Bombyx mori: one gene and its partners. The protein of the gene in region 3 purifies or fractionates together with the protein of the main gene of each other region. This does not show direct contact. Links are inferred from orthologs where the notes say so. Each region holds a gene or a part of one and is shown on either strand. Other genes may lie near its edges.

Region 1 (3,659 bases), on a different chromosome or scaffold from region 3:
AACAGCTCGGAGCAGCCCCTGCACATAGACTTCAGCATCCAGGTGCTGTCGTCCGGCTCGTGGCCCTTCCAGCAGTCCACGTCCTTCCAGCTGCCCACGGAGGTGACGTCACCACTTCAATACTCCCCCCCCCAATCACAATATTACTCATTTTTTTATTTTTTATTTTATTGCTTAGAAGGGTGGACGATCTCACAGCCCAACTGGTGTTAAGTGGTTACTGGAGCCCATAGACCTCTACAACGTAAATGCGCCACCCACCTTGAGATATAAATTCTAAGGTCTCAGTAAAGTTACAACGGCTGCCCCGCCCTTCAAACCGAAACGCGTTGCTGCTTCACGACAGAAATAGGCGGGGCGGTGGTACCTACCCGCGGGGATTCGCAAGAGGTCCTACCGCCAACCTAATCTAGTAATCTCGAGGGGTTATGCTAGATTCACAGAATTACTCGTAGTAGATGAGCTCACAGGGATCAAACCTGAAGACGTTTCTATCACTAGTCCTAGCTGATTCTATCGAAATTGAATGCACCCATAGAGACATTAACCTGTCTGCGATGTCTTCAATTTCTATTGTTCTAAGTAGCTGAATGAGTTCACAGCCCGACTGGCTTTAAATGGTTAAGCGCTCTCGTTTGACCATCAGTCATTTTATAACAAGACTAGCTTTTGCCCGCGACTCTGTCCGCGTGGAACAGTCACTTTGGAATAACGCTAAATTTTACCCCCACTTCGTTTTCGTAGAAAGTGAAAATATTTAAAAAACATTCTTTATTGATGCTCCGCTTGTATTGGTCCTCGCGTGATGTTATATATGAGTCGTCTATTATCAAAGGTGGCAATCTGTGCATTTGGACAAAAAAAATGTTATTGATATGTCAATACAGATTGATTTGAATATAATCGTCTCCTTCAAAGAATACGGTTCAAAACCTGCATTAAATAAAGGTTAATACTTAACCTGTTATTTATCTAAGATGTCGTTCAGAAGAGTTTTGTGACTGCCAATGGAATACAAAGTCAATAATTCGTTTTTCTGATTTACCAATAATTGTCCAAAAGTCACATTGCCGGCTTTGATAATAGTCGACTCATATGTTATAACCTATAGCCTTTCTCTTTAAATGGGCTATCTAACACTGAAATATTTTTCGAATTGGACTAGTAGTTCCTGAGGTTAGCGCGTTCAAACAAACAAACTCTTCAGCTCTATAATATTAGTATAGATTGTGACGTTGTCCTTTTGTCTCTAACGCGAATGTCGTATTCACATCCTTGAGCGATTTAGTGAACAAAATTGCAATTTAACTATTTTTTTACTCGAGCCCATAGACAACTCCTCGAGACGACAGATTTAAATCTCGATTATACTGTACATCGGTCGCCCTACCACTCGAACCGGAACGAGTTATTACATCGCGGCAGAAATGGTAGTTAGTTTGCCTACATTTGCCGCTAGGGGCGCTGTTCCATCTACATACAAATTTGAGTTAACTTTTACGCTATTGAGGACGTTAAAAACTCGCACTAAGCACACTGCACAATAGTCACAGTGATATATACTAATAATATATAAATCTACAGTGGTTTTTACGGATGTTCCGTTATAACTACTGAACCATGCATCCGATTGACTTGAAACTTGGTATCCATGTAGAAAATACATGTACTTAATGGATAGGCTAATATTTATATGAGTGTTGGACTCCTTACACCAGTTGCGGGGGCGTTAATGATGAGAATCTTTGTGGGGGTGAGAAATATGTTAATTTTAAATGTCCAGCGGAGCGGACGAGTACAGCTAGTACAATAATAGATTCGTTCTTCTTATTCTTCGTCGCTTCCTCATTACTGAGGGTCGTGACCACCTTGGTCCAGTTTTTGCACCAGCTTCCTCCAATGTTGCCTGCACTCGGCCTGCTTAATGGCGCCCGGGACGCTGGTGTTTGTGGCCTCCTTGCCAATGTCCGTCCGCCTGATTGGCGATCTTCCTCGACTTCTCAAAGGTGTAAATGTGTAATGTTGGGTTTGGTTGTATCTCTCCAGCTGGAGCGCTCCGTGCACCGGTTCACCACGTTCTACTCGTCGCAACACTCCGGGCGCAAGCTGAACTGGCTCTACAACATGAGCAAGGGGGAACTCCTCACCAACTGCTTCAAGAACAGGTAACGCCCGAGCAGACAACGGCTCTGCTCCTGGCATTGCTGACGTCCACGGGCGACAGTAATCATTCACCATCAGGTGGAACGTATTCTCGTCTGCCTATAAAAAAGGGGCCAGTAAAAAGACAGTAACCGCTGACTTCAGGTTCTCAAGCGAGTGGAACTCAGCATTGCCTTTAGTGAGCTCTCGAAGCTTCACGAAAATATATTATTCAATATAATATATTTTTTATTTATTGCTTAGACGGGTAGACGAGTTCACAGCACACCTGGTGTTAAGTGGTTACTGGAGCCTATAGACATCTACAACGTAAATGCCCCACCCACCTTGAGATTCAAATTCTAAGGTCTTAAGTATAGTTACGACGGCTGCCCCACCCTTCAAACCGAAACGCATTACTGCTTCACGGCAGAAATAAGCGGGGCGGTGGTACCTACCCGCGCAGACTCACAAGAGGTCCTACCACCAGTAATTACGCCAATTATAATTTTGCGGGTTTTTATTTTTATTACACGATGTTATTCCTTCACCGTGGAAGTCAATCGTGAACATTTGTTAAGTGCATATTTCATTAGAAAAATTGGTACCCGCCTGCGGGATTCGAACACCGGTGCATCGCTCGATACGAATGTACCGGACGTCTTATCCTTTAGGTCACGACGACGCATCTGGCCGGTGTTCTGTCCAGGGCTTGCTAGCCTCCTATGCGACCGAAAGCTGGGATACAGGTTATTGTAACGTCCAGGTACACGCTGCAGGCGAGCACGTTCCAGATGGCGGTGCTGCTGCAGTACAACGACAACACCTCGTGGACGGTCCGCCAGCTGGAGCAGCACACCGGCATCAAAGGGGACTTCCTCATACAGGTGAGCCTACGCTCCAGGTGTATTGAGAAGGAGCGTCGCACGATCGAAACCTGGCACTGACCTAAGACACTTCGGATGGCTTTACCTACGGCACAATTTACCTCAATTGTGTTTTGCTGGTGGTAGGACATCTCGTGACTCCGCACGGGTAGGTACCACCACCCGCCTATTTCGGTTTGAAGGGTGGGGAAGCCGTTGTAACTGAGACCTTAGAACTGATATCTCAAGGCGGTGACGCATTTACGTTGTAAATGTCTATGGGCTCCAGTAACCACTTACTTACAGGTGGACTGTGAGATCCTCCACACATCTAGGCAACAAAAAAAAATGAGGCCCGTTTACGCTACCAGGTTTTAAAACCAGGTTTTCACTTCGAAGTACGGCGCCCTGGTACATGCCAAAAATACTTGCAATTATGAAAGTGCTGAAGTCGAATGCTCAAAAAACTTGAACACCCACATGAAAATACTGCATAGGAAAATGATTCATTTCTTATTAGGAATATATAAAAATGAATTGCTGTTCATCAGTCTCGCTAAAACTCGAGATCGGCTGGACCGATTTGGCTAATTTTGGTCTTGAATTATGGAAATCCAGAGAAGGCTTAAAAGGTAGATAAATATGAAAATG
Region 2 (3,659 bases), on a different chromosome or scaffold from region 3:
TGAGAGTTTGTCAGAAAAGTGAAAAGAAAATCCTTATATAAGTACATTGCATAACACTGCTGCGACGTATTTATTCCATACCGTATACCAGTACCGAATTCTTCAAATTTATTCCGTAATGTTTTCTATTTGGTACCTATGTAATTATTTCAAAGAGTTCATTGATGTTAAATTTAATATATTCTGATCACGGTTCCGCAATCCGATCGAAATCGGCATCTTTGTATAAAATATTTCGGTCCAGGTATCCTAACTTATCATCCTTTTAATAATAATAAATAAAAACAGTTTAACCGTTAACCTATTTGGAGATTCCGAATAGTATGGTCGTAAAAACTACGTGCGCATATTATAATGTAACAAGAAATATTTAGAACTTATTGACCTATATTTATTTAGGTAGGTTCATTAATTAAATTTTATACAAATTTAAGTTTGTTTACTGTAATCATGTCGACTTACACATAGCATACAAAACAAACATTTTTTGTAATAATATATAACAGCTATAAAATTTACACATAAAACATAATTGTGGATTATTTTCATGTTCTCAGACGAATACCTTAATTATGTTTAAGAAAGTACTTCAATTGTCTCACAATAGTCTATTCAATTGCCTCACAACATCAAATAACTTTGTACAATTTAACTTCAAAGTGTTTTAAAAAAAGCTTTTACCTAGATTAGGTTACTGCAATCTAATAAATATCATTAATTTTAAATGCAGCTTGAAACTTCCTGAAAAATAACGCATCTTTAGTCCATTGAAATAATGCATATTATAACAATTTAATAAAACTGCAGAGTCTCGTGTATTTCTATACTCTATGGTCTGCTCTTTGCAGATCTCTGCATGCAGGTAGTAAGGCAAGATCGTAAAAAAATGGAATCCACAGATGGCGCATTTCTGAACATTCCAATGCCTTGCCGATGATAAATTAATAGTCACGACAAATTCTGTTTTACTAACTTTTTTTACTGTATACGATTTATTTATACATATTTATTTTCGTAATCAAAATAGCTTTCATTACTGCAACACTTAACTGCGTTTAATCACTTATCCATATTTTGTTCATTTGAGAAAAACTCTTTCAACGGTGCGTTACTTCCAGGTGACAAATAACTTACTCAATAATTGTGGAAAAGTTTGTTAAATGTAGATTGTTGGTACGGAAGTGCTGGAATAATTCGACCCAACGGTTTTCAGTAGAAACATTCTCGGCATTCCAGTCAGTAATTTTTGCATCAAAAACTCGTATCTTGGCTTCTGATAATAAACCCTTGTGTGTTCAGTAAATCAAGTACTTTCTGTACCTCTTCCCACGAAGGCACTTTTGTTAAATTAGCCCATTTAAACACTCCTAGTGCCATGTTGAATTGAAAAATAAATTTATCGTTTGGTCTCTCTGCAAAAGCGGAACTATGTCTGCCTCGCTGGGGACAGCAGGACAGAATTCCCGAAAGCGTGACTGTCCCGCCACAATCGGGACGTATCGTCCCGTTATATATACAGGAATTCAAGTTCTCATCTAGAAGATTATTATCTTCTATTTGGGTGATAATTGCTAGATGTAAAATCTGAAATACACCCATGGTTAAACGAGTTGTATGGCATCTACTATCCTTTTTTATAAATTAAGTCTACGTGGTATGCGTAGAAACTAACGATTTTATTGTAGATAGACACACTAGGTATGGCAGAGTTCACCTGGTATAAAATTGTTACCGTAGGTCTTATGGTATCTCTGATGTGCATACATAACAAACTAAATGTCGCTATCCACTTTAAAACAAATCAGGACGAAATCTCGATTATTTAATTACTGATCCACCCTTACCGCACGATTGCTTCGCGGCAGAAATAGGCGAAAGGTCGGTACTTAGGTACCTTTGCGGAATCTCGATAAGCCATTAGTAATTACTCATTTTTTTTATATTATTTCGTTCATAGTGGAAGCTGTTCACGGAAACTTCTTATGTACACTTATACTTTTAACAAAATAATACCTGTTATACAGATACCTAGATATTTGTGGTTTACGTGTGAAATAAATATTAAGACATTAATATTCAACTGTGAAAGAAAATATTTCTTTTAAAAAGATATTTATTTTCTTTTAGCCTGTTTCAGATTATACTTTTCGTATATATTTACCTTATCTTATACAATATTTAAGTTAAATTGCCTAAAAGTAAATAAAAACGCCTTTACCGCCTAAAGATTCGTTTATTCGTTTTGTTCTGTTCCAAAGAAAAAACTTTAATTAAAATTATTATTTTAACCTTACTTTCTCCCGATTAACTCTGCGTTTATTTTAGGAAGTTTACTTTGTTACCTGTTCGGTACATGTTTTTTTTTTTATTGCTTAGATGGGTGGACGAGCTCACAGCCCACCTGGTGTTAAGTGGTTCCTGGAGCCCATAGACATCTACAATGTAAATTCGCCACCCACCTTGAGATATAAGTTCTAAGGTCTCAGTATAGTTACAACGGCTGCCCCACCCTTCAAACCGAAACGCATTACTGCTTCACGGCAGAAATAGGCGGGGTGGTGGTACCTACCCGTGCGGACTCACAAGAGGTCCTACCACCAGTGATTCTGTAATGTTTACTAGTAATTTACTAGTAACGGATCTTACTACCCTACCAACTCTCTATGAGATGTATCATTGCTTATTCTATCCAATTTTTTCTGTATTTATTTATTAGTCACACAATAGACATCACAAGCTAAAAAAGATACATAAAAAACACAAGTAAAAAGAAACAAAATCTGGCTTGCGACATAAGCCTTGTGCGCACGACTAAACAAGACGAAGTGCTGAATTTGTACACAATGTTCCGTAAGACAATTAAAAATAATAATGTAATATTTATTATTTCAGAGGGTGTAACAGTAACATCGAGATGCGACATGCGCGCTCTGTGTTCGGTTCGCGGGCCGTTAGGCGGAGACACTCGCGCTCTAGGCGCGGGTGCTCGGTTTCTGTCCCTCCGCATGCCCGGTCAAGCACAGCCTCTTCACTTCGTTGTGGAAGCAAAATCAAGAGTCAAAGAGTTAAAAGCATTGGTCAACGGACATGTCCAGCTACGAGGCATGACCGATACGGATTTTTTCGGATTAGCTGTATTACAAAGTAAGTAGTTTTAAAGATTATTCTATTGATGTTCACTGATGTTTACGCAACTTTACACACGTAAAATGTTCACCTCACGATTTCACAAAGTTTACACTTCGCATTATTTATTCACAGCGTAACGCATTCCTTGCAAAGCATTCTGCTTATCTATGCAAACAAGCGCTGCTTTATAATCTATGTTTCATAAATACTTTTTATTCAAATCACAACGTCACATCGGTAGTTAGTGAACATTGAACATACGCCTTTCGGAGCATACGCCTTTCATGTACAAAGTAACACGTATATATTTCGCAACACATAAATTTAATGAAACATGTTACAGCTGTAGGTACAGAGAGTGAAATCTTTTTTTATTTTATGTATAGACTACCTTACGATACCTGATGATAAATGTCTACCGGAGCCCATGTTTATTTAAACTAAGGTAAATGTTGCCACCCTCCTGGAATACATAACTATTAAATATTATACGTTTAACAGAACGATGGTAATCTACATGTACAAACAAG
Region 3 (3,659 bases):
ACCGGCCTATTGTTGCTGTTGAGAATGAATTAGAAAACAATTAAGATCTATTTTTCATAAAAAGCTTTATCATTATAAGTTTCGTACCATTACCCAATCTAAGTTCAACATCAATCTGAGAGATCGCTGTTATTATAAACTACTACCCCACAGTAAAATCTTTTGTGTTCTTAATTCGAATTTTTTAACGTTCTCGATAGCGTAAAAGTTAACACGAATTTGTATGGAGTTGGAACGTTTGCCTACGTTTCCCGCTAGGGGCGCTGTTCCAACTCCATACAAATTCGTGTTAACTTTTACGCTATCGAGAAAAAAGTTCTCGTCTAACTTGATACTCGATCGATTGGTGAGCGATAATGTATATTAGATCGAAATGTCTCACTCAGTCGTTGCCTGTCTAAACGCTTGACCTCTGCTTAACGCGAGGCCGGCACGCATTTGCATGCGGAAACTCGATCGCATCTCGGCCGAGAGAGCACACGTGCCTTGCGATCGAGAAGTCGTCTCGTAGTAGTGGCGAAAGGTATAACTTTGGTAAAACTAATTCCCTTGCTCGAAAAGGGTTAGATTTGTGATAGATAAATACGAGCTTAGATCCTTCGAACATATAGGTCATTTATCAGTAGGCAGTGGCTTAGCTCTGCCCCTGGCATTGCTGAAGTCCATGGGCGACGGTAACCACTCACCATCAAGTTGGCCGTAAGCTCGTCTGCCTATAAAGGCAACAAAAAAAAAATCACCCAACATAATTATCTAAAAAATAGTAATAAATTCCTAGTTTTTAAGCTAAGTTAAAGAAGTTTTTTTTTAATCTTATATTAATCGCAATCATGATGCCGTATGTGGCTGGTTAACTATTGTGTGTGAGTGTATGATCTATTTTTGTTTTTGCCCCCATATGACGTCACAGATATGAAGTTGCTTTGAAGGAATTTTTTGTGATGTTTCCTCGGAAGCTTTGAAAGTTAGAGAGAGAAGAGAGAACTCTTCTGTTCATTGTATTATACACTAAAGATAATGTCTTGCATTTTCATTAATGCCTTTTACAACGCGGTGGGTTGGTTCCGCGTTATAGGAGCAAAATTTATTTTTATATTTTACAGTATTTCTGTAAATTAAAGGGTTGTCTGGAAGAGATCGCTTTTAGCGATAAGACCGCCTATTGTACATATGTGCTTTTTGACTGTTTTTTTGAATGTAAATTGTGTTGGTGTGCAATAAAGTGTATTATCTCTCTCTCTCTCTCATAATGCCCCCGTTTGATCTCATTGACAGAATTAAATTAATGAAAATTTGTATGAAATATTTCAACAAGCAAAAAATCGCCGCGTCATATGAAAAAACGCGGGTTTTTTGCTGAGGACATGACATCGCGTTATAAGAGTTGACCTCGTTATAGGAGAATTTTTTAAATGGGATGTCGATAGGAATAGATTTTAATATAATCTTTGCCAGCTAGTCAGTCAAATTTTTAATAAATAAAATCATCTAACCTTAATGATCCAATATTGAATGTATGCCAATGGAAATGAATAAATTTACTTCCCGACGATCCTAAATTATGTGCATATCAATATAGTTTTCATTCATATTGGGGCTTATTCTGGGTTCTCTGAAGCCACCCGTATCACCCCCCCCCCCCCTCTCTCTCCCCTACAGCTATGAAGGTTTGGGAAATCTATACTAATATATAAATCTACAGTGGTTTTTACGGATGTTCCGTTATAACTACTGAACCGTGCATCCGATTGACTTGAAACTTGGTATCCATGTAGAAAATACATGTACTTAATGGATAGGCTGATATTTATATGAGAGTTGTACTCCCTAATAATAATGACAATAAATAATAATGTTAGTTTTAAATGCCCAGCGAAGCGAGCGAGTATGGCTAGTTATTTATACGAACACAGCAGATATCGCCTTCCCCTATGAATAGTGTAAACAAAAAATTTACTTTAAAGTTTATTATTTAAGAAACATATTTTTTTTTTTTTGTCAGGAGGAAATCGCCGGACTTCCGCCCTCCACTGGGGATGGAGGGCGGGGCATGTCTGAGTCGAACTGACTAAAACCTCCTGTCGCTCAACAACCAACGTCCAAACCTCGCATGAGACAGAACTCATGAAGAGGCAGAGGGGGGAAAGTGAAGCGTTTAGTGCGGAGCACATCTCTCCTATCACCCTCCCCCTCGGGACGCCGGTCCGGTGGTCGTCGGCGCCACGACCACCAGCCCTCTCGGTTTAAGAAACATATAGTACAATTATACATCAGTAAAATCTGTCAAAAAAAACCCTACCTATTCACTAGCCTAAGGGACTATTCTAGCTACGGTAGGTGAGCTTACGGGCTCAACCTGAGAGAATTTGTTAACACTAGCCCTAGCAAGAGTAGTGCTTCGTTGAATCTACCACCGGATCTGAATCGCGATCCACTGCATTCCGATCAATTGCATTGATTACAATGATGATTTTGTTTTAATAATTTGCGCACGAATTGCGAGTCCCATAAAGGGTACTTTGTGGTAAACTCATCATCCATTCATCGTTCATAGCAACGGTAAATTCAGCAGCTCACTTCGAAAGAAGAGATCGAAGTTTCAATTCCGATCTCCAACCATTGTCTCGACCTTCAAAACATATATTAGTATTGTGCTTAGTGCGAGTTTTTTAACGTTCTCGATCGCGTAAAAGTTAACTCAAATTTGTATGGAGTTGGAACAGCGCCCCTAGCGGCAAACGAAGGGAAGCTGTTCAGAACTTTCAAATTAAAAAAAACTAGTGACTAAGCACACAATGTCTTTCGAAGAACTTGACTTAGTCGCGTCACTATACGCCGAGTGCTAGGGTTGTCTCAACCGCTTTCACGATCGTTTTCCAGGTGACGTCACTGACAAGTTTGGACAGCGGCGTCAGACCGGTGCCCAGCAGCCCTGCGTACGCGGCGGAAAGGGACGCATGCCTCAACTACTTCACAAGATGGAACGAGACAGATCAGGTGACCGCATCCCTTCAGATCAGTACAAGGAATGTTATCGAAGCTGATAAGTGCTTCGTCTGCCTACAAGGGCAATAAAAAAAAGTGCTTACACTATCGGCATGCTATGATGGCCGTTTTGACTTAATACAATAGTGATGTGAAATGTCAATTTATTCTCGCAAAAAAATATAATGGAATCTACAAGTTTTTATTGCAAGTAGTACCTGATTAAAAAGGCTTAATAAAACCAAATTATAAATCCTTATTAAATTATTTTAATTAATAAATTTAAATTAATTTATTAACCTTCTTAAATTTTCTTTTTTTTTAATTTTGTATATCGAAAAGCAAATACCGAGTTAGGTATGTGGTAATAGTACGCTGTAACCATACTTGAGACCTTAGAACTTATATCTCAAGGTGGCTGGCGCATTTACGTTGTATATGTCTATGGGCTCCAGTAACCACTTAACGCCAGGTGGGCTGTGAGCTCGTCCACCCATGTATGCAATAATAAAAAAAAAAACGTCAAAACGGCCATCATAGCGCGTCGGTAGTGTAATGCGGTGCCTCGATACAAGCTGACGAGATTACCTTTGACACGTTGTACGCCACATGAAAAAACGAGTATTTTCATTCAGACCACGGTGCGCACCGGTGAGCCTTATCTTACTGAACCG

Evidence for each region.
Region 1: the proteins of beta-TrCP (region 3) and cullin-1 purify together in Drosophila melanogaster (affinity purification with western blotting; 4 studies listed by BioGRID, with this or other methods). This does not show direct contact. The link is inferred for Bombyx mori from reciprocal best matches to the Drosophila melanogaster genes slmb and Cul1.
Region 2: the proteins of beta-TrCP (region 3) and protein expanded purify together in Drosophila melanogaster (affinity purification with western blotting; 4 studies listed by BioGRID, with this or other methods). This does not show direct contact. The link is inferred for Bombyx mori from reciprocal best matches to the Drosophila melanogaster genes slmb and ex.

Annotation. Positions count from the first base shown.
Region 1 is NC_085108.1:4,432,341-4,435,999, reverse strand, and holds part of cullin-1, read left to right. Parts: coding exon 1-102; intron 103-2,046; coding exon 2,047-2,165; intron 2,166-2,908; coding exon 2,909-3,029; intron 3,030-3,659. UniProt on the Drosophila melanogaster protein: Core component of multiple SCF (SKP1-CUL1-F-box protein) E3 ubiquitin-protein ligase complexes which mediate the ubiquitination of proteins involved in cell cycle progression, signal transduction and transcription.
Region 2 is NC_085118.1:7,049,278-7,052,936, forward strand, and holds part of protein expanded, read left to right. Parts: intron 1-2,892; 5' UTR 2,893-2,921; coding exon 2,922-3,144; intron 3,145-3,659. UniProt on the Drosophila melanogaster protein: Activates the Hippo/SWH (Sav/Wts/Hpo) signaling pathway, a signaling pathway that plays a pivotal role in organ size control and tumor suppression by restricting proliferation and promoting apoptosis.
Region 3 is NC_085130.1:17,513,226-17,516,884, reverse strand, and holds part of beta-TrCP, read left to right. Parts: intron 1-2,880; coding exon 2,881-2,997; intron 2,998-3,659.